2 linked regions of the Schizosaccharomyces pombe genome follow. The gene in region 1 interacts genetically with each later gene. Each region holds a gene or a part of one and is shown on either strand. Other genes may lie near its edges. The genes, in order: hse1 and sst4.

Evidence for each region.
Region 2: of hse1 (region 1) and sst4, changing one enhances a phenotype caused by changing the other (phenotypic enhancement), as found in Schizosaccharomyces pombe (one study listed by BioGRID).

The regions. Positions count from the first base shown.
Region 1 is NC_003423.3:1,066,431-1,080,235, forward strand, and holds hse1 (ESCRT-0 subunit protein HSE1), read left to right. Parts: upstream 1-7,948; 5' UTR 7,949-7,968; coding exon 7,969-8,096; exon of another isoform or gene 8,097-8,140; coding exon 8,141-8,216; intron 8,217-8,389; coding exon 8,390-8,609; intron 8,610-8,667; coding exon 8,668-9,365; 3' UTR 9,366-9,523; downstream 9,524-13,805. Other genes in the region: mannan polymerase I complex subunit Anp1, read left to right, coding at 662-1,954; DNAJ protein Spf31, read right to left, coding at 2,680-3,258, 3,462-3,512; rhp18 (postreplication repair E3 ubiquitin-protein ligase), read left to right, coding at 3,828-4,991; TRAPP III complex subunit Trs8502, read right to left, coding at 5,141-6,997; yea4 (NST UDP-N-acetylglucosamine transporter), read left to right, coding at 9,917-10,867; ipa1 (mRNA processing protein), read right to left, coding at 11,009-11,536, 12,018-12,488. UniProt on the Schizosaccharomyces pombe protein: Component of the ESCRT-0 complex which is the sorting receptor for ubiquitinated cargo proteins at the multivesicular body (MVB).
Region 2 is NC_003424.3:2,469,996-2,480,096, reverse strand, and holds sst4 (ESCRT 0 complex subunit sst4), read right to left. Parts: upstream 2,227-10,101; 5' UTR 1,979-2,226; coding exon 146-1,978; 3' UTR 66-145; downstream 1-65. Other genes in the region: pbr1 (putative dehydrogenase), read left to right, coding at 3,001-4,131; U3 snoRNP-associated protein Imp4, read right to left, coding at 4,511-5,380; protein prl65, read left to right, coding at 7,195-7,236, 7,348-7,503; nonsense-mediated decay protein Upf2, read left to right, coding at 8,154-10,101.

The sequences.
Region 1 (13,805 bases):
ATAATTTTGAAAACTTTGTAAAACAACAGTTAACGTAAGAAGTTGGTTATGTTTAATAAATCAAATCCAACGGGTTATCTTTCGTCGTTGTAGACCCGAGAATTTATCAATAACCAATGTAGTATCATTTTCTGACAATGTTCACGGATATTGTTAACAATTTAATTTTGAATTGGATATCTAATATTCACAGGTTGAATAAAATTAGTTTCATTATATCATCACATATTGTAATTTTAGTTAACGAGGATTATGTTTGTAAGAGAAGAGAAAATAACTGTGGCAATTATACACGCACTTGCAGATGCAATTGTAAATTTTTTAGATATAATGAATAGTTGTACCAAAAATGTTCCTGCTTTTACTTTTTTTTAGAAGATAGACATTGGAACGCGGCTTGCTTAAAAACCTGGCACGTGCCTTTTTTATTTTTCGTGCATTGGTAAAAACAGTACTGTTTAAGTATTAATAAGCTTAAATTAATTCTTTAAATTCACAGTCTCCAATTTTTTCTAAAATTCTTGATTTTGGTATTTTTGCTTAGCCTTCGCGTTCGTTATATTTATATACTACCAACCACTTTAAACTAAACCAACCCCGTACCTTTGGTAAAGTAGCCACTACTGCTTTATAAAGCTATTTATTGTTAATCTCTTCCACAATGAAAGCAAATAGAGACTTTGGAAGAGATGGTGGCCCTTTTAGTATTACGCCGAATCGATTCCAGCCTAAATCCAGCGGAAATCCCATATTCCGACAGAAAACCATTCGAACTGTTGGGATAATTGCTTTAACACTGGTCTTATTTTTATTCTTCCATCGTTCATTCTTCTCTTCTTTTGGTGAATTTCCCAGTTTTTCTTCTACCGCGAACGCTCCTAATTCTGATGTGCAAGAATATGACTTGCGAAAAGTAATGAACGCTAAATTTACTGGAGATTATTCACCGAAAGAAAAGGTGTTGATTTGTGCTCCACTTCGAAATGCTGCAGAACATCTTAATATGTTTTTTGGTCACATGAATAACCTGACTTATCCTCACGAACTTATAGACCTTGCCTTTCTAATTTCAGACACTGATGATAATACTCTCGAGGTTTTGAAGCAACATTTAGACGCTATTCAAAATGACGAGGACGAATCTAAGCATTTTAACAATGTCCTTATCATGCTAAAGGACTTCGGTGCTATTTTCGGTCAAGAATTCAGTGACCGTCATGGATTTGCGGCACAAGGTCCCCGAAGGAAATTAATGGCTCGTGCTCGTAATTGGCTTTTGTCAGCCGCTATACAGCCTTACCATTCTTGGGTTTACTGGAGAGATGTTGACGTGGAGACTGCTCCAAACACTATTTTGGAGGATCTTATGCGCCATGATAAAGACATTATTGTTCCTAACGTTTATAGACCCTTACCAGATTGGTTGGGCAATGAGCAACCATATGATTTAAATTCATGGGCTGAATCTGAGACTGCTCTTCAGCTTGCAGATACTTTGGGCGAAGACGACGTTATTGTAGAAGGATACGCAGAGTATGCTACCTGGCGCCCTCATTTGGCTTACCTTCGTGATCCTAATGGTGACCCATCTGTTGAAATGCCACTGGATGGTATTGGTGGTGTATCTATTATGTCTAAAGCTAAAGTACACCTAGAAGGTTGCGAGTTTCCCGCATTTTCATTTGAAAAGCATGCTGAAACCGAAGGATTTGGAAAAATGGCTAAGCGGATGGGGTTTTCCGTTTACGGACTTCCTCACTATGTTATTTGGCATATTTATGAACCTAGCGATGATGATAAGCGTATTATGGCTGAAATGGAACGCGAAAGGAAAGAAAGGGAGGCCGCAGAGCTTGAAGAGGCTAAAAAGTATCAGACTGCTGGATTCACGCAACCAGATGATCAGGGTGCTGAAGAAGGTCCTTTGGCACATGCAGACGATCATGTTGATTAAGCTCCCTTACTTTGTAAAAAAATTCCTGAGCACAGTAACCATGTTTTACAGTCCTCTCTCTTCTTTATTTAAATCGCTGCCCCTTTTCACTTACATATATAATGATGGTCGCGTTTTTTCTTTATTCTTATTTCTTTTTATCTCTTTTAAACATATGATCAAGACATAATTAGTAATTTTAGTGTTATTCTGCCCTCTTTTTTTTAACTTGGTATACGAACTCATAATGGGATGCACGTTAGGATGATGCTTGTTTCTTCAGTTGGTGCGCTTTAATGCTATGCCAGGAAAAAAAGGAAGCTCTTGGTCTTATTCTCTCTTTAAGGACTTTTTCCTCCAAAAAGCCTTGTACATACAAACATCTTTAGTTTGTTGTTTATTCGACAGTGGGTAGGGCAATCATTCTCTTTCTTTACATGCACCCATTAGGAATATATGCCATAGAACGCTGTAAATATACAAAGCAGTTACCATGGTTAAACGGCATTCATATTAATTCTATTACGATACTGATACATATCACTGTCGAAAAGCAAATTTCAGTAGAATTTGTTGATTAGTTTACTTAATGGTAATCTGCTCACGTAGCATGAAAAGAAATTTCAATTTATAAATTGTTGAAAACTTCATATTAAATCATTTCAATCGCATAGGTCATGTACAAATACTAAAAGAGGTTAAGTCGTCGAAGCTTTAATGTACAATAAAACGCGTAACTTCGTCTTTTATCCAAGAACCCTTGGTTTTTTATTCTTCTTTTTTAAGTTATTTTTCTTCGTTTTGTGAAGGAAATCCTGCCAATTTCCCACACGATTATCTCTTGTCTCTTCCCAAACCTTTTCTGATTCTACACGACGCTTTCGTTCTCTTGCAATTTCATCTTGACGCGCTTGTTCTCTTTGCTGGTTTGCTAAATCGAGCTGCCGTGCTCGTCTTCTTGCAACTTCATCTGCAATAAGGATTTCACGCCAACGTACTTTTAAATCAAATAAAAACTGGTCTGAATGGACGTCTTCCGAATTTGGAGACAATTTTTTTTCTTTCAATAGTTGGTTCCTTGCAGCTGTGTAAGCCGAATCAAGAGATTCCCGAATCTTATCATTAACTAGATCAGACTCCGCCTTTTTTAAAATGTCGAATGCGTCTGCAGCTTTTGGGTTATCGCGATTTTTGTCTGGATGAATCATTAATGATTTTTTCCTGTACAAATTTCGAATATCATCAACACTCATTCCTGGCAAAATATCAAGAACATCATATGCATTTAATTTAAAGGAAGACAATATTCTGTCAATCTCACGTCCCTAAGTAAAGGTTAGAATTCATCGACTTTGTTTGATTAGCAAGTAATATACGCATAGGCAAAGTTATTCTATTGTTTCATTGTAGTATATAATCTGTATAAACAAAAAAAAAAAAAATTCTGAGAATAAGATAAATCGAATCAACCTACTAAGGTACATCTAGAAATCTTCACATGCAATGTCAATAAAATGCTAAAACTTACTCTGTTTAAACTTCCTTCAACTCGATCTAAAAACTTTGCAACGTCTGCCATTTCTGACCGAGCCCCAAAATTGAAATTACAAGAGTGCAAATTTCAAAAATCCTTTATAGATAAATTTGGTGGTGAGTTAGGTTTTGCATTCGCCAACTTCTGGTATCGAGGGTAAGAATCTGTAAGTACGTTTAGAAACAGGTTCTTTACATTTGTTCTTTAAATGTAATAATGTATATGAATATACATATTCATTTACATATCGATGTGTCTAAGGTTTAAAAATTTACCGTCCGAGAGTGCTCTTACGAATCCCTAATTAAGTTTGAATATTAGTGCATATTAACTATTAATGGGTTTGCAATTTAAAATAAGATGAATGAACTAGATGCTACAGATCCATCTGATTGGAACCAAACGAAAATACCATCGTTGAAGGGCTTGGATTCTTCTTTACGATGTCTGATTTGTCATGAATACTTTCGCGCCCCCTTAATTACTTCTTGCTCACACACCTTTTGTTCGTTTTGTATACGCGATTATCTGAGAGAACATCCTATGTGCCCTGCTTGTCGTGCTCCTGAGCAAGAAAGCCGCTTAAGAAAAAACACTATATTAGAAGAGATTTTAGAGTCCTTTAAAGTGATCAGGCCAACATTGTTTGAATTCTTAAAAGTAGAAAATGTGCCAAAGCCAGTACTTCAAGCTCCTGAAACAGTTATCGCACAGGATTCAGCTTCTGGCGATGAGGAATGGGAAGACGACTTGGCTTCAAATTCATCTCCTGCTTCTATAGCTAAAAAGACATCTAGGGATTCTAAAAAGAGGAAACGTGAGGATTTAGTTCACTGCCCTGCATGTTCAAATTTAGTTCCTCATAATCAAATTAATCAACACTTGGATTCTTGTCTTAACTCACCTTCTTCCCCGTCTTCCTCTTCCTCACCTTATAAAAATAAGGATAATAGTAAATCTAATTCATTACTATCATTCAAAACAGATGATGATTCTATCACGAAGCGCAGGTTAAGGTCGTTTAACTCTGCAGATGAACTACCCTTGAAAGATCGAGTGCGGCTTCCCAAACTAACTTATGCACTCCTTTCCGAATCAAAAATTCGTTCCAAATTATCAGAGATGGGGCTTCCAACCGATGGACATAAACAACTATTACAACGTCGACATGCTAAATGGGTTACCCTTTACAATTCTAATTTAGACCAGAAACAACCTGTTTCAAAAAGAAATTTAATTCGCCAACTTATAGATTGGGAGCGCGTTCAGTCGAAATCAATTGGAGTAGAAAAAGAAAAACTAGGAGGGGGCGATTGGGAGAAGGCATACGCTGAGGATTTTGCTGATCTCATCAACCGTGCAAAACAATCAACAACTAACAAAAATGATTCATTGAGGAACACTGCTGTTGAATCTTCCACCGAACCTTCTACATCTAACGGTTTTCCTGCCACTTCAGTTAGTCCCCCTCTTACTATTGACCTTACCAATTCACAAACGGGATCCGATGGACCACAGTCCTAATCATTAATTTTCGTTGGATTCGTTTTAACGAATTTTCATTATCAGATTAACTTATTAGTTTATTTCGCTATATATAATCACATTAATAACCTGTAGAAATTTTGATATTTGGTAAATAAAATAATATACATTTTGAAAGTGGGGCATTTCTAGCTAGAAGGAATATTAGAAGCAGGTTGTTTGGAGACTTCGACTTCGTCAAGTGCTGCAACACACTCCTTCAAATCCTTCCAATCGATTTTTCCATAAAACAATTTTGCTTCCTCTACAAAAGGCTTGGCACGAAAGGGAATGCGACATCTCAACCAAGCATCGGCAGTTAATACACACCAAAGTGCGGCTTTACGAGTTCGCTTATTAGAGAACGGGTCCGTAGATTCAGTTTTTAAATAAGAAAGGGATTTAAAGAGAGTGTGAGTTTGTTGAAAGATCATTGCTCTTCCTACAGGACCCAATCTCTTAGAATAAAGCAAACCTGCATTCCAGTTAGCAGCATCGTCCACTTTTGGAGCTGGTAAACAACTAAGGAATTGTCCCAGGAGAAGGAAACAGCGCGCAGCATGATAATAGGAATTGAAGGATTTATTCAAATAATTTAACATAGCAGATTGCATATACTCGTTTATTCTCAATGTGTTCGTCAAACTCATATATGGCATTTTTAGGTGTAAAATATGTTCAGTTATTACAATCATTTCTAGAGAGGCAGCAGAATATAAGCAAGCACCATCATTTTCATACTGTCTTGATGCAATTTCATAAATCTGATTTGCATGAGAATAATCTCGTAGCATGAAGGAATAGTCGGCAAGTTTCCTAAGATATGCCTCTGGTGAAAATGGACGATAGGCATTAGATGAGGGGAAATAGTTAGAATTGGTAGAAGCATTCGAACTAGATAAATATTTTCTGGATGCAAATAACAGCTTACCGGTAATCCCTCGTCTCGGAGAAGCATATTGATCATCCCATGCTCTTACGCATTTGTCCAAATAAGAGACAATTCCGTTGAACGCAATGTGCGAAGATAACCGTCGCAGTGATTCATTGTCGGATTCAAAGAGTAATCGTATTTCAGTATCCGTATTAGATAAAAGGTGTAAACGTTCTTCAGCAGACAACCAAGAGGATGTTGGAAAAGGAACGGTATGTTCATAATCTAAGGTAGCCTTTTGTGAATGAAGGCGAAGAAAGTATCCACAATCTCCAAATGTCTGCTTCATCGTATCAAATATAGCCATTGAAAGCTCCAAATCATGTTGATCTTCATCATGAACATATACGAAAAGGTAGTTTATATCATTGAAAACGAAAGCAGGAAGGGAAAGGTAGGGAATCGAATTAATCAAAGATCTGAGAGATTCAAAAGGACTAGGATTATGCGAAGTTACTACGACAAGGTGAGCAACGGGATGAGAAAAAGTTTCAAAAGGAGTAATAGGTATCCCAGTTAGTAACTGTCGCACATAGACAGGAAGTGGCATTTGGTAATTCCCTTCATGAGCCAATGTCCAAGCCCATCGTTCAACGTTTTTATAATGAACGCCAAAGGAATAATCTGAAGGGGGTTCAGGTGAAACAAGACCTGGATATCGCTCACATAAAACCGAGCGAAGTGAAGGAAAAGATGCTTCACTTAAGTGGCTTTCTAAAGCATCAATTGGGACAAAATGTAAATTTAAATTTTCCAACGTCAGCATTTCTCCATTCATTCCTCTACGGTTTACCTTTCCACGAATACGGTCTCCAAAAGGATACAACAATTCCCAAAACCCCTTAGGATATCCCTTCCTCATGGCAAACTCGTCAGCATCTCGGGAACATAGGACCGAAACTCGCGGAGCATATGCTTCTTGGATGATGGAACACAACTCCTCCATCGAATACAGTCCTTTCGACTGCATTACCTTTTCAAGATCTTCTGTTACGGGCTCTTGAAACAATTCCCCTGATGCATTAGCACTTGCATGTTGAAAAATACCTTTGGCGGAAAGGTTGCTTTCCATATTTTGCTGAGTAAATGTCAAATTCAAGCTTTTTCAATTAAAAACTCGAAATCCGACACTTAAATGACTTTATTACAAAGCTGATGTAGTGAAGAATACATGCAATGCACCTTTATCAACAAATTTTTTAGACTAGAAGTTAACTACCTCAAGGGTATATGGAGAGGATGTACGAGATTTGACAGCAGACTAGGTCACTACATAATTAATTGAATATAAAAAGAAAAAAACGATTTCATTTAATAAAAGTCTAATTAATCAAATTATGAGTATTTTGTTCGTATATTAGAGAGCTATGTAAAAGGACTGTACCGATCATCTAGACGACAAATATCGTACATTGAATTCACCTAGTTTGAGCCTTGAATGCTAACCAATGCTAAATGAAATGTAATGCTTTTTGGTGAGCTTACATATTATTTAAAATAATGAAATAAATATAGTAACAGCAAGCTGCGACTATAATACACTAGTTTTAATAGATATATAAATGAATTCTCAAATTGATATATGAGGACAAGGGTTTAATGTTGCTTCATAGTTTTATATTCATCATCATTCGTTAGAAAATCTAAACACTTGACCGATTAGAGTATTGCAGTATTTTAAATATACAGTTTGCTTGAGCATGAAAATACAACTCGGTAGTGAAACTGTCTTTTTATTCTAAAAGGAACCCAAGCTTAACCCAAAAAGTATAAATATTACTGAATATTTAAAAATTGACTCGTATTTTTGAACCAAGAATAATAAATCGGCTACAAGTTCTTTTTTAGAAGCACCCATGAATGTTGACTATATAAACCAACCACTTTACCATGCTTTTGAATTTATCTAAATAGAAATTTATTAAATTCACCTTTAACAGAACAAGTAGCAATTTGATTGATCTAAAATTTCTCGATTTATTACAAGGTTATATATATGTCTTGGATAAGCATAGTGGTCGCCGCCATCTCTTCTTCACCAATATGTTTCGAGGAAAACCCAACTCTATTGAGACCCTTATTTTACAAGCCACTGATGAAAAGAATACTAAAGAGAAATGGGACGTTATAATGGATGCGTGCGATCAACTATCTAGCACTTCTGGAGATGTGTAAGTTAATCGTAATCAGAGTCGTTTCACTAACTGGTTGGTAGTGGTCGGAACTCGATTAAATTTTTAAATAAAAGGCTGGATACAGCGAATGCTAATATTCAATTGTTGGCTTTGACGGTATGTTTGTACCACTTTTGAGGAGGAGGAAGCAATCAATTTATGATTATTCAATCTGGAACCACTGAGAATACTATTGTCTGTGCTTTACAAATTGTTTATTGTTCCTTATATCAATACACTCTATTTTAAAATGAATTGCGCAAATTTACTTTATCTAACGTTTGTTTTAGCTTACTGATGCCATTGTGAAAAATTGTAAGACTTCCATTGTACGAGAGATCTCCTCTAGAACATTCACGGATTCTCTTTTGAAAATAGCTAGTGACTCTACAACTCATAACCGAGTGCGTAGTAGAATCGCAGTTCTTGTCAACGAATGGGCTGAAATAATGAAAAAAGATCCCAACATGAGTCTTATGCAAGATATTTGTGAAAAAATTAGAAAGCTAGGTAAGTTTCATGCACGTTTGAATGGACAAGTTAAAGATAATATGATCTAACCTCTTAGATATCGTTGATTTACGAGCTCCTAAAAAGCCAGAAAAAGAAGCGATGAATGAATTAGAACTCAAAAGAGAAGAAGAGGAGCTTCAATATGCTTTAGCATTATCACTTTCGGAATCGACCGCGCAATCGAATAAAGTGGAAAACCCCCAATCCACTAAAGATGAACCGCTGCAGAAAACGAACCAACGGCAGGAATCAAACTTAGCTACTTCTCCTGCTTCGACAGTTTCTCGCGTTCGAGCGCTTTATGATTTCGCGGCAACCGAGCAGGGCGAACTTTCATTTAAAAAGGGAGATATTATATTAGTCCTGGAAAGCGTGTATAAAGATTGGTGGAAAGGTTCTTGCAAAAATGCTGTTGGAATCTTTCCCGTCAATTATGTGCAACGAGTCGTTGAGCCTACCATTGAGCAGCAACGTCAATCTGCACATATGGAGCAGCAAGTTTTTGACGCGCTTCCTCAAATAGATGAACTACTTGATACCTTATCGACTACCTCTCCTGATGCTGCCGATGATGATGCTCTTCAAGGAAAATATCACGCGATGATTGCCCTGCGTCCAAAGCTTGTAAGATTAATTGAAAAATACGCATCTCAGAAAGAAGAACTCATGGATCTGAATGAAAGGCTTTTAGTTGCTCGCCGTGATTATGAAAAACTTTACGAACAGTCAATGTCTGAGATGAGGAATTTTTAAAGCTAATCATCAGCTTTTTGCAAGTTAATGTTTTTGCAAGCAAGTGCTTAGTTATTATGCTTTTATTTAATGGTTATAATTATTGAGATATTTTTAATAAAACAATTTTTTTTATTTTAATTTACTTTCTCAATTAAAGGTTACACGACTGTTAGTTTTAACAAAGGTGTAAACGAATCTCATCGATCCTATTTTAAAAATAAAAATATAACTAGAATAAACCTTTTTACAAAATTGCGTTCTAAAAAATATGTATGAATATAATAAATACCAAAACGCGCGAAAGCAAAGCCCGCGATTGTCTAATTGTCTTCACCTCTACACTTCCCTTAAGCCAAATTCGACCTCAATTTACATATTTGTTACATAAGAATTAACTGATTCTTTTTTACACATTCTTTTATTTTAACAGACATTATTTGTTGAAGCCTTTTGTTCATTTTGGTATACTACAATATAGCAGTCGATTCTTTTATTTTCCATAACTTTAGGATTACCAAGAAGCTGACATTGGTTCACAAATACTATAATTATCCAAAGGAAGCATTAGAATGATAGCATCTGCATTGTCTTTCATATTTGGAGGTTGCTGTTCAAACGCATATGCGCTTGAAGCACTCGTGCGAGAATTCCCAAGCAGTGGTATTCTGATTACGTTCTCGCAATTTATACTGATTACTATTGAAGGCTTGATATACTTTTTGCTAAACGACGTTCAGTCATTGAAACATCCAAAGGTGCCGCGTAAACGATGGTTTGTGGTTGTAGTAATGTTCTTTGCTATTAATGTTTTGAATAATGTGGCCTTGGGGTTTGATATTTCAGTACCAGTACATATTATTTTAAGAAGTAGTGGACCTTTAACAACAATGGCGGTTGGCAGAATCTTAGCTGGTAAAAGATACTCAAGTCTTCAAATTGGAAGTGTCTTCATACTTACTATTGGTGTCATAATAGCAACGTTGGGGAATGCGAAGGACTTACATTTGCATGTAGAATCAATGACTCGATTTGGCATTGGATTTACTATTCTGGTGATAACTCAAATACTTGGTGCCATCATGGGATTGGTATTGGAGAATACCTACAGAATATATGGCTCAGATTGGCGTGAAAGTTTATTTTACACTCATGCTCTTTCCCTTCCTTTCTTTTTGTTCCTTTTAAGGCCCATAAGAAGTCAGTGGAATGATTTATTTGCAATCCACACGAAAGGGTTTTTAAATTTACCTTCCGGAGTATGGTACTTGTGCTTCAATACGTTGGCTCAGTACTTCTGTGTACGTGGAGTAAACGCGCTAGGGGCAGAAACATCAGCTCTAACAGTCAGTGTTGTTTTGAACGTCAGAAAATTTGTGAGTTTATGTCTTAGCCTCATTCTCTTTGAAAACGAAATGGGACCTGCCGTAAAATTTGGGGCTTTGTTGGTGTTTGGATCCAGCGCAGTATATGCTTCTGCTCGGTCAAAACCAAAAACAAATGGATTGAAAAAAAATGATTAATTTACATATACATACTATGTGCATAACAACTAGATATCAAAAAAATAGACGGTTCATTTCTCTTTCAAAAAGGATACATTAAAAAGTATTTAACTTTTTGAAATAATTGCCAATTAAAAATTTAAAAGGATACATGACACATTAGATCATTTGTTTATGAAATTTCGGCAGTAAACCGACTTTCCAAGGACCAAATTTTTGAGCAGAGACCGGAAAAGAAAGATTTCCTTTTTCCAAAACATGAGAAATTTCGTCAAAGGCGTGACTTGAAACGGGTATGTCCATCCAATCCTCGGAGCTTTTAGTAAAATCGGGAGGAACTTCTAGTTGATAAAGTAATTTTATGGTAGAGATTGGACTGTTTGCAAACTCAATGCTTGAAAACGGACTTTTTTGAAAAGAAATTGGTAAGTGTGGTACGAAACACCAAGTCCATATACTTCGCTCGCCGTCTACAATGACAAATTTGTGAGTGGCATACATGTCACGCAAAGTTAGTATTTCCGAAGCAACTATAAAGGAAGGATGAATTTTTTGATCGTCAATACATATACTAGACTTGTCAAGTCGTACGCCGTTACTCGAATCTTTATTGTTTGGGAGTCCAAGTTCTGCGTTACAAAAGGAGCAATGAAGTTTGAAGTTAGGTCCATAAGCAACCTTTCCCTCCTAAAATCTTGTTAGTCAAAACTCTTTTGTAGAAAAATAACAAGGTGATTAATCTAAGGAGAAAGTGAATCTTCTTCTTTTATTCCTGTTCAATCATGTACAACTTATTTAACCGCATCATGCCAAGACTCTGCAATGAGCGACCTGGAAATAGGTTGCATTTATTTAAAGTATCCAAATTACCCTCTTTTGGAACAAGGGGTACAGATGGAAATACAAAATTGCATTATTATAGGGCTTATGTATCACCATGGTTTGGAAGGAAGAAACGAAACCATGGGTTTCTTTTAAGCCCATTAAAAAAAAAAAAAAAAAAGAAAAAAAGAAAAAGAACACCCAGCTATATGAAAGGGCTATTTATGAAGACGATGCAGTAGAATGGATAATTCAAAATTCTTACTCACTGTAATGGATGAACATTACAGCCAATAAAGAGGAACGAATAGAAAATTTGGGAAAGAAAAAAAAATAAAATACTTACCAAGGATTGTAGTCGAATGAGGACATAAGACGTACCCAAATAAGCACAGTCATCAGTAGGTTGAAACATTGAAGGACCCCCTCTTTTGGAAAGGACCGTAGGATAATCTGTATGACAGGACCAGCAATCTAGCATTTCCATCCAATTTGCAGATGGTAGATCTTTCCAAGAAGAGATGCTTGTTAAGAAAGATTGACATTGTTTACATTTAATGGTACTTTTGACAGCATCATCTTTATTTAAATCAATAGCCTTCCAAGGAACCTGTATTTCATCGCTATATGTAACTGGAGGACACGAAATTACCAATTGAATAGTATCCGAGCGTATAATAGGATTAATTGGAGTCGACCTAGAAAGCGTTAAGGGTAAAGGGAATTTTAAGTCAGCGACGCATTTTGGGATGTCTTTTGTTTCTGGATCCAAAAAGACATTTACCCTACCTACATGAACGAGATATTCAGCAAGCATGCAAAGTCTGTATAGATGATTCGCTGCTTATTGATCGAAGAAGAAGCAAAGAGCAAAGGTGAAGAGAAATTGAGACGAATGATATAACGAGAACTAGTGCCAAAAAAGTTAATTATAGCGAAGCACTAACGTATCATTATGTTACGATACATGACTATATACAAAAATTGAGAGGTTTGAAAGTTACTCTCGCTATTCCATCAGAAAGCGTTGCAAAGCAGTGTAATATCATCCAGCGTAGTTTAAACTAGAACCGTATTGTTTACTGAATGCCAGCAATACACTACTCTATGATACACTGTGTTGCGTATTACTATATGGCACATGTTCTAATTATATATCATACTATGTATGATACGACATTGAGATTGATCTTAATGATAATTTATTAAGATCTATATTATCTGAATACTATAAATAGAGCTACTGCTGAACCTCGTTCCTCAGTTCAGTTATGAGCTATATCGGTGACCGATACTAAGAGACTTCTTATAACAATAAATATACGTTATTAGTTAACATACCGCATACCGCTACATTGTAGGTCGCAAGTAAACTCACCACAGTTCTGTGTATCGTTAAATAGATACCAAACTGCGTAGCTGATACTGAATGAGAAGTGTAGTAAATAATAAAAGAGGTTTGTGTCATTTATGAAGGTGTTTTTGAGGAAATAATTATTATAAATAATTGTTGTGTTGCATATAAACAGGATTTAAAGGTAAATAAGGGAAGAAAAAAGCTTAGCCAACTTGAGTTGACCCCATAAAAGAAACATATATTATTTATTTATTCGTTAATGTTTTTTAAACACAAAATGTAAACGATTCATTGATATTGAAGAATGTAATAGTAAGAAAAAAATTAATGAAATATTTAGAAAATACAAATCAATTGCAATCTCGTTATTTTTTTCTTGTGTAATAAAAAAAAAAAATTGTGCAGTGAAAATTAAACAAGTTTATTATGACAGTAGAATAAAACACTTATTAACCATCTATCCTACACAAAATGCATTAATTTCTTTCTTTTTAATTTTAGTCAATTATTTACTTTTGAATTCACTTCACATTCTCATTTACTTTTAGCCTTTTGTTTACTCCTTTACCTCCACATGGTTAGATTTCAGGTCAGTCCCCCACTTGGAGCTTTTTCAATACCATGTGGGAAAATCGATTATGGACTTTTAATCCCACCTGTGTATGCCCCCACATGGAACTTTCTATAACTTTCCATGGAAACCGGGGATGGAGCAATATGTTCAAAGAATAATGCTAGAAAGATTGTATGCTGAATCCCACAAGGTACGTGACCCCC
Region 2 (10,101 bases), on another chromosome or scaffold:
TTTACGTATGTATTCACCATTCTGAATTTTAGGTTACAATTGATCAATTTTGAAAAACAAAAAAATATTAAAAGGATCGTAAACAGACATGCATTGTCGATAAATTGATCTAAGTATTTAATATGTATTATAAGATGTTTAAAACCTAAAGCTCGATTAAAGATGCTTCTTGAACTTCAGGAATATCATTACCTTGCTTATCATTGCCATTCATTAAATCATCATAACCAGAGGAAATTTCGTCAAAAGGCTCTCCAACTTTATCGATTGAATCAGTATTATAATAGTTGGTACTTTCATCGATATTTAATTTTGTATTCTTTTCACCAGATGCGGTGTCAGAAAATACAACTTCATCGTGTCGATTTCCCATTACATTCGCAGAAACGTCTGTATCCGTCGAGTAATAACTGGAGATAGTATCTTTCTGACCCATCACATCAGAATGACTAGGGGGATTTTCTGTTACCGGAGACGAATCGACAACGATTTTCGGGACAGAAGAAGACGAAGCCTGGGGAATGGTTGAACTATTCCTCACAGTGCTAATTACATCCGGCTCAGGTTCAATTGATCGGTTTGAATCCATGCTAGAATCAATATAATGATGTGCATACGTGGATGAAAGTCTTTGTTCTATTAGAGCATCATTCAATCGCATACAAGTTTGGAGCTTTTGCAAAGCTTGAATTAGCCCGTTATATTTACTCATTGTTTCACCAAGCGATCGCATCATACGAGTTCGCATAACACCCATATTTTCGTGGAGTTCCTGTAGCTGATATTCCGTAAAAATAGACCCAGGTGGTAGCTTTTTTAACTTTTGCACCAAAGTAGCATATAAAGTGATGTTATCAGCATCCGCAGTAGAAATTAAAGTAGAAGGATTATCACTCGGCCTACCAGAGAAAGGAGATGATCGAATATCAGTTGAAACGGTGTGAGCTGGAACACTAGGGTAAGAAATATTCATATTGTTAGGTGCCGTAACATTGTCATCCTTTTGAGATGACTTCTGTGCTTCCTCAAGGCTGATAGCAATAGCACGTTTAAGCTCTTCATCTTCGTCTTCTGTAAGATGTTGGTCTTGACTAATAACTACATTGGCCTCTGAAGGTCTTTCATAAGATGGAGGTTCTCGTGATTGAGGCATTTCTTTGAGGGAAAGCTCAATAGCTCTTTTGATATCTTCGTCTTCATTATTAGTTACGGGTTTAGAGGGTGTCTTTCTAGTCTTCGCATGGAATTTCCTTTCATTTCGCGCTCTTGATTTGGAACCTTTGGGTTTCGTACGTAATGAATAACAACTGTCGCATACCCTAACAGGCTGGTTAATTCCAAGGTGAGGAAGAGAAAGTGTTTTTGAAGAACATTGATTGCAAAACACGCCACCGCAATTTCTACAATGGTGTTTACGATTAGTGAATGTAAAAGGTGTACGACAACGAAGACAAACTTCACTATCTGTCCAATCGGGCGGTGTTTCAGTATCTAAAAATTTGCTAGTAATGTTCTGAGAAGGCTCAGGGAACTCATAATCACCGTCTTTTAAATTTTGATAAACATGAATAATATAACTAAGTGGAGAATTGGTATCTGGAACTGCCAAAGCCCAAGACTGAATGTATCGTAAAATGACCATTTTAACGTCTTCGTCTATTCCTGCAGGAGATCGTAGAATAGATACCAAATTATCCATAAACTCTCTAGAAGCTATTTCCAATAAAAAACCGGAACCCCCATTTTTAACGCAGGTATCTGTCAACTTCAATGCCATTATTTGAACATTCGGATTCGAATGATCAATTCGGGATTTAAGAATACGCATAGCAAATTTCGGATCAACAGACTTACTACGTATTTGATCAGAAATTTCTAAATATAATGAAATTTCTTCAGAGCCAGCAGGAAGCGTTTCCGATGTAGCCTTTTCTATGTCGGAAGCAAACTGAGAATTGGAATTCCACCACCGAGACATCGTTATGAAAATAGAGAAGAAAAGAAAAACCGAAATTAAGAAACAAAAGAAATCTTTTTATTATTTGTAAGCTAAATTGTCACCAAACAAATAACCAATGGCCTTCAAAAATTCCTAATAAACAAAAGCAGCAGGTGAAGTATAACAACTTTGGCACAATTCTTCTGATTGTTTGAAATTATGGCAAAATAATGTATTGTAAATCCTCCTTTCCAATAAAATTCAATTTGAGAAAGAGTTTGGTTCTCGACAGCAATAACAGATTGTTCGTGGCTCAAACTTGCTAAGTAATAGTGCGGGCAGCTTAGCACATCTCGGTATAACGGTTGATAGTGCAGAGCGGCAAATATAGTAAAGCAAGTATTGAGAGAACACTAATTGTCGTAAATATCGATGATGTTTATAGACTCATTAGGTAGATCAAGCTAAAGCGTGCAATGTAGTTTCAGCCTTTTTGAAGGTACCATAAATAAGCAAAGAAGGAAAACGATACCTCACCATTGAGTGCTGTACTTCTGGTAGGTGCTAATAAGACAGACCGTAATAATTTATATTTGCTATGCGAATTATATACTATCACAGTGTTTCTTGAAATATTATAAAAAATAATATGTCAAATGTTGTAGTATACACATACTTAATTTTCCTATGTTAAAACAAGTATTTAGTATATCTTCAAATTTCACATATATATCATATAAACAGTCTATTTTACTTTCCAATTTGTAAGCAATCTGTTTTACGGTCCATAAATTACATTATGTATATATACAAAAACAATTCAATCCTATCTTTGTCAAATTTATGGAGCTAGTTGCTATTAGTAATATGCACTAGCAGTCAAGCGATTAAATAATTGTACAATTAAATCCATCTAAAGTTAAAACAATTGTATAAAAAAAAGTTTTAAATTTTTGATTGTTAAGAATTAAATATGAAGACGAGTTTAGTATACCTCAATGTCAGTGGTATGTAGCTGCCTTTTGCCAACTCCATCAACAGATTTTGTAAATCAACGAAATATGCCTATTCCAATTATTGCTCACATAGCACAATTTAAGTATGAGCATCTAATTACACATTGGGCTCAATATACAAAGGCTGCGATTGCGGTTTCAACAATTGCGGCCTTTAAATTCTGGACTTCTGGACGAACAACAACTTGGGAGCGTAAAATGAACGGAATGGTAGTCATGGTCACTGGGGGAAGTTCTGGAATAGGACAAGTTGTCGTAGAGAAATTAGCTTCTCTGGGAGCTCAAGTTGTTATTCTACTTCGTACAGAGCCAGATCAATTTACTGTAGATTACATAATGGACCTTAGAAAGCGTACAAAAAACCAACTAATTTATACTGAAGTCTGTGACTTGAGCTCTATGTTATCTGTTAGGAAGTTCGCTACAAAGTGGATTGATTGCACTCCTATTCGTAGGCTGGATATGATAGTTTTGTGCAGTGGAGTTTTACTGCCTCCATTTATGGATAGGCAAACTACCGAGGAAGGTGTTGAGTTGCAATGGGCTACAAATTTCTTAGGTCCATACCAGCTACTTAGGATTCTCCGCCCAGTTATATATGGTCAGCCCGGGCACAGGGAAGTACGAATTGTTGCAGCTACCTGTTCATCATATATTTTAGGTAATATAGATTTCAACGATCTTGATTTATCTAATCATCCATATCCTCGAAAAAGTCCCTGGAAGGTAGTGGGAAATGCCAAACTTGCCTTGATGACTTATCTTTATGATTTTCAGAAAAAAGCTGAAGCTCATGAACGACCTGACAAAATGCCGTGTAATTTACATACCATCATGGCAAATCCAGGTGTCGTTCGAACTCCAGGATTTCGAAGAGTTGTATCCTTTGGAAAGGTTTGGGGATTATTTCTTTATTTGTTACTTTGGCCGTTTTGGTGGCTTCTTCTGAAAGGTACTATTCATGGTGCTCAATCATTTTTTCATGCTATTTGCAGTCCCGAATTTGCTTCGATTACTCAACCCGTCCTTGTAAATGAATGTTCGATAGTTGAATATTCACGCAAAGAAATTACCGATCCGGAATTTGCTGAAAAACTAATAAAAGCTGCCGATGCCCAAATTGATGAAGTTGAAAAGCAATACAAGAAGAAGAAAATCAAGAAATCAAAAAAATAGAAGTTTAGCGAAAAATATGGAATGTCATTTGGTTGGAATATTCACCATAATAACGTAGGTCCGAAGTTAAAAGGTTGGTATTTTTAAAAAGACAAATACAGTGCTTAAACTTTAAGCTGTACATAAACATTGCTCAAGTAAACTAATTAAAATATAAAAAAGGAACCCAAGTACAATCGCTACTGATATATGTTCTACTTCACTAATGTTTTGAATAGTATAACCATTAACCACTAATACTAGAAAGTTTTGCCTCCTTATTTATCAAAGATACCATTCACTCTAATGGCCTTGCCTATACATAAAAGAATTGTAATTATTTACCTGTATCCCAAATGAACCTAAAATAACCGTTTGACCATACCCATCATACCTACGCTCATTCAGCTAAAACATCACGTTTGTGACGCTGGTAAGGCTTCAATTTCCATTCCACATCAGCGTCTACCATATCAACGGTGCCGAGGGTAATTTCAAATAGTTTCATCTCAAAGCGAGGACCAGCCTCAGATAGAATAATCTGCTTTGGGCCTGTTTTGGCGTAAATGTGGTGACGGAAACTGATATAATCATCAGTGTTAGCAAATGTAACCACACGTGGTGTAGTATCTTTAGGGTCTGGAGGAAATAAAGCAGAAAGAGCTGTTTTAACGCGCTTTCCCAACTTTGAAGTCAAATTTTCAAAAATAAGATGTGGATACGCTTCTGACATGGTACCAGTATTAGGGATATCATGACGAAGAACCACGTTATGTAAAGAAAATGACAAGGTAGGACCATAAGGAAGATGAGAAATTACAAGACCATCAGGGATACCTCTGTGTTCGTGCAAAATGACTATATCGGTAATATCATTGGCACGAGCGGCTTCTACCAAGCTTCCGACAACGATATTACCACGATTGAGTCGATATGAGTTGGGAATCAAGAGACGTACTTCTTTTGCAAATTGCGCTAGACGAGATGAGGGCTCTCGACTGGTGGTAACTAAAACTTTTGGCTCCCTCTCACCCAGACGGTGGTACTCATCGTCAAGGTTGGTTTCTGTCTCTTCTTGAGTTGCTCTGCTTTCATCATATTTATAATCCTTTTGAAGTTGACTGTCTTCCTGCAAATCTTTGTTCAATTCTTTGTTACCTTCCAATGCTTTTCTTAATGCACGTCGTTTTTCATTGAGTTTTGCTTCTTGAAGTTCTTGATTTCTCTTATAAATGAACTGTCTTCTTTCCCTAACAGCACGACGAAGCATCTTAAATTATTAAATTAAAAAAAATTACACTTGCAGTATGCAACTAGCTGTTTGCAATGCGAAAGTTGTATGCACCTCGTTCTTAACACTAATGCCGAAAATATTTTTTGCATGGGGATAGGTCGCGAACTAATGTCAGCAATACTACACTACGCTATGATACACTACGTTGCGTATCACTATATGTCACATGTTCTAATTATATATCGTACCATGTATGATACGATATGGAGATTGATCTTAATGATAATCTATTAAGATCAATATTATCTGAATACTATAAATAGAGCTACTGCTGAACCTCGTTCCTCAGTTCAGTTATGAGCTATATTAGTGATAGGTAACATTATAACCCAGTTAATACAATACCTATACTCAGTTGCTACTTATACAACCTGTGTATTGTAATATAATAGACCACAAGGAAAACTCACCGCAGTTCTACGTATCCTTAAATCGGATACCAAACTGTGTAGCAAACACTTGTCTCAGTTTAATACTTTTTGTTCTATAGCGTTCATCATTTATATGTTCGTCTTCACTAATCAACTGAGCACGTATATATACGAAATGTGCGTATTTTAATATGATCATAAGTTTAGACTTTTAAATAAAATTACACTTACAACCTAATCGCATTATAGCACTGAAAATCTTTGTAAAACATTGTTGGTTAAACTACAGTAGAAAAAGGTTTATCCGACTAAGTATACTACTATAGTTAAATATTCTTTTCTAAAAATTTAATTGGTTTATAACTTATCCATCCAAACAGCCAAGTAGCTGAAGGCAGAAGAAGAGATATTTTAGAAAATTTACTATCCGTATTATTTAACTTTCACATCAAACGTTTTAGGGGAAGCAAAACAAAAATATAATTCACGAACCAAAAAAAAGAGTGACCGATTTTTTGAATTTTTAGAAGCTTTTACCAGGTTCTGAAAATGCTCGATAATAAACAAGGATAGGTAATTGAAGCTTATTGATGAAGGATTAGCCTTGTATGAACCCAGAATATTGGGAATTGGAAACACATTCATATAAAAAAGTTGACTATGACAATGTTTGTCGATTTTCCAAATTCTACATCCGTTTAATTACTGTTAGGATTGACATTGTTTTTCCTACCCAACTAAATCTTTTAAAGTGCGAAGTAGGAACACTGTACATTGATTCGAAAAGTTCACTAATGTTTTAAAAAATGCTTAGGATCACTTTTCTTATGCTGGTAGTAATGAGAAAGTCGATTTAATCTAACCTCGTATTTGCAACCTCATGAGCGAACTCCGGTCTCATCCAGATAACTTTCAATGGGAAAAATTATTCTCGTTGATGAGTAAATATGACGAAAAATCGTTACGCTAAACTACCATTGTTTTAAAAGTTGGAATGAATTAATATCTATCTATCTTTCAATCTCACACATTTTTTTTCTATACTACATTTCTATAGATATAACTTCGATGCCACGTAAAAAAACAAGACTAACTTGGTTTTCAATCACAATTTATTACGTTCACTATAGTTATGTCAATCGCCGCTTCTTCTCAAATGGAAGTGTTGGATGATGAACGATTTATCCATGTGTCTTCACGAAGTGATGAAACGTGCTACGTTGTACTGCAGGGTTGCATGTATCAGATTTCACACAAAAATTATCAAAGGCATTGATTACGTCTAGATGGTTTACGTCTTACTCACGACAACATTATGTGCAATTGTTTAAGAGGTTTAGTTGCCACTTTCATAATAAAAAAACTATATAATTTGGAGGTTTGCATACTAAAATCATAAATATTCATATCGTTTAAAAAATGACCAAATATTCTAAAGGAAACAAAGTCGAATACCATCCTGTAAGTAGGAATTTTTGATTCAGGCATGTCAGTTAAGTACACTGTATTTTGTGTACCGAATTGTGTCTTGAAGTTTTTCGACTGTGATTAAGTATTAACAAATGGTTTAAGATTGGTGGCCCTAGCGGTACCAGCACCTCAACAGGAGTTATCCAGCAGGTGATTAAAAACGATAGCGGAGAGGAGACTCGTTATGAAATATTGAACGATCATACTGGAAAGGCTGCTACCTACAAGGAGAGAAACATTTCTCGTATCCTAGACTAATGTTTTAACGATCTGAGCAATTTTTTGTTGAATATGATATTTATTTATAAAAGTGTTTTATTTATTCGAAGGCAATACATGGTTTTCTGAGTATTGCTTAATTACCCTTTCTGAGTATCAACAATTGTATTGAATTTCTGTTAGCACACTTAATAGCTTCAATAAATTGCTACTGTTACCTTTTTTTCCTTTTTATTTAAGATTGTTACACATCAACAGTAAGCGTAAAAGTGGAAACCGTAGATATATTTTCGTCAATCATAAAAGGTCCTTATCAAGATGATGCATACATCTACCTGTATTAACTGTTTTATTCTTCATGCCTAACAAATTATGTTTAAATTGTACCAATGCACAAACCTCCTATTGCTTCTAATCATCCCCAATTGATTTATTCCTCTAATATATGAAACTGCAGCAACAATATAGCATTTATGCAACTAAAATATAATCCAATACTGTTTATTCTTTTTTAAAAAAAAAAACCAGTATAATTTAAGATACTTGCCATAGTTACTTTACAATATTATTTCGTTGTGGAAGAGGACATGTGTCAAATTTATCTACTCACTTTACGCCAACTATCGTCGACTAGTGTTCTAAACAAGATATGAGAATTGAAGTGCTTTTCAATGCAATTTCGTTAAATTATGTCAAGAGAAGAACAAATAAAAAAACTTAATCAATATTTGGATAATAGAGAGCTTGCCTTCCGAGCCAAAGATGGTGACAAAAATATATTTCATACTGAGAGCCAGCTGGATTCTTCTCTAAAGAAAAATACAGCATTTATGAAAAGATGTAAGTCCTCATTAACTTCTGAAAATTACGATTCCTTTATAAAGGAAATAAAAACCCTGTCTTTGAAAAAGTTCATTCCTGAAATTACCGCCGCCATCGTAGAAGGAATGATGAAATGTAAAGCTACTAAAGACATACTGTCGTCAGTCAAAATTGTTTGGGCTCTTAATCTGCGTTTTTCCACGGCTTTTACTGGACCCATGCTGGCCAACTTATACTGTGCTTTATACCCAAACCCAGGATACTCATTGTGTCACGAATCATACTTTGAACTAAAGCAAAATGAAAACGAAGTTTCCGAAAAGGACCGTTCCTCTCATTTACTCAAAGTTAGACCGCTCCTTAGGTTTTTGATTGAGTTTTGGTTAAATGGTGTTGTTGGCACTCCTGAGGATTTCGTCTCTTATTTACCTTCTACTGATTCGAATGATAAAAAGTTTCGTAAGCCATGGTTTGAAGAGCAAAATTTAAAAAAACCCTTGGTGGTTCTGCTATTCAATGACCTTATGGACACAAGATTTGGGTTTCTCTTGTTACCGGTTTTGACATCTTTGGTGAGGACTTTTTCTTGCGAACTTTTCACTACAGAGGATTTTGAAGATAAAGAAACTTTAGAACTAGTTAATCGCCTTAATCCGGTTGTGTGGAGGACTTATTTAAGAAAGTCGTTGAATTCCTACGTAGACAAATTAGAGGTCTACTGCCAAAAGCGAAAATCTCTTTTTGAAGAATTAAACAAACAATATCAAGAGCAAAGCATTATAAGGGCAGATCCAAACAATGAAAAATTCCAGCGCCTTGCTAACTTTTCAAAATCGATCGAGTCTGAATTTTCTTCTTATGCTTCTCTTTCAGAAGTATTGAATAGAAAAGCTTCCGAAGATCTCTTGGAACTCAACTTTATGGAAAAGGCTTCCTCTGGAACTAATAGCGTGTTTAATGCATCAGGCGAAAGGAGTGAGTCTGCCAATGTTGAAACGGCTCAAGTTTGGGATGATAGAGAGCAATATTTTTTTTACGAGGTGTTCCCAAATTTTAATGAAGGTTCTATAGCTGAAATGAAAAGTAGCATTTACGAATCCAGTCAGGAAGGTATTCGTTCTTCATCTGAAAACAATAAAAAAGAAGATGATCTTAAGGACTCAACGGGCGATCTAAATACAACGCAAGTAAGCTCAAGAGTTGATAACTTCTTGCTAAAATTACCCTCCATGGTTTCCTTAGAACTCACGAATGAAATGGCCTTGGAGTTTTACGACTTAAATACAAAGGCATCTAGGAATCGACTTATAAAGGCTTTGTGCACTATCCCTAGGACATCGTCTTTCCTTGTTCCTTATTATGTTCGATTAGCACGTATTCTTTCTCAACTTTCATCAGAGTTTTCCACTTCATTGGTAGATCATGCAAGACATTCGTTCAAAAGGATGATTCATCGAAAAGCTAAGCACGAATACGATACTAGATTGCTTATTGTTCGTTATATTTCTGAACTTACTAAATTTCAGTTGATGCCTTTCCACATGGTTTTTGAATGCTATAAATTGTGTATAAATGAGTTTACACCATTTGACTTGGAAGTTTTAGCATTACTTTTAGAAAGTTGTGGGAGATTTCTTCTTCGTTATCCGGAAACCAAGTTGCAAATGCAATCGTTTTTAGAAGCCATTCAGAAAAAAAAATTGGCTTCTGCGCTTGCCTCTCAAGATCAGCTTGTACTAGAAAATGCTTTACACTTCGTCAATCCGCCAAAGCGTGGTATCATAGTTTCAAAAAAAAAATCATTGAAAGAGGAAT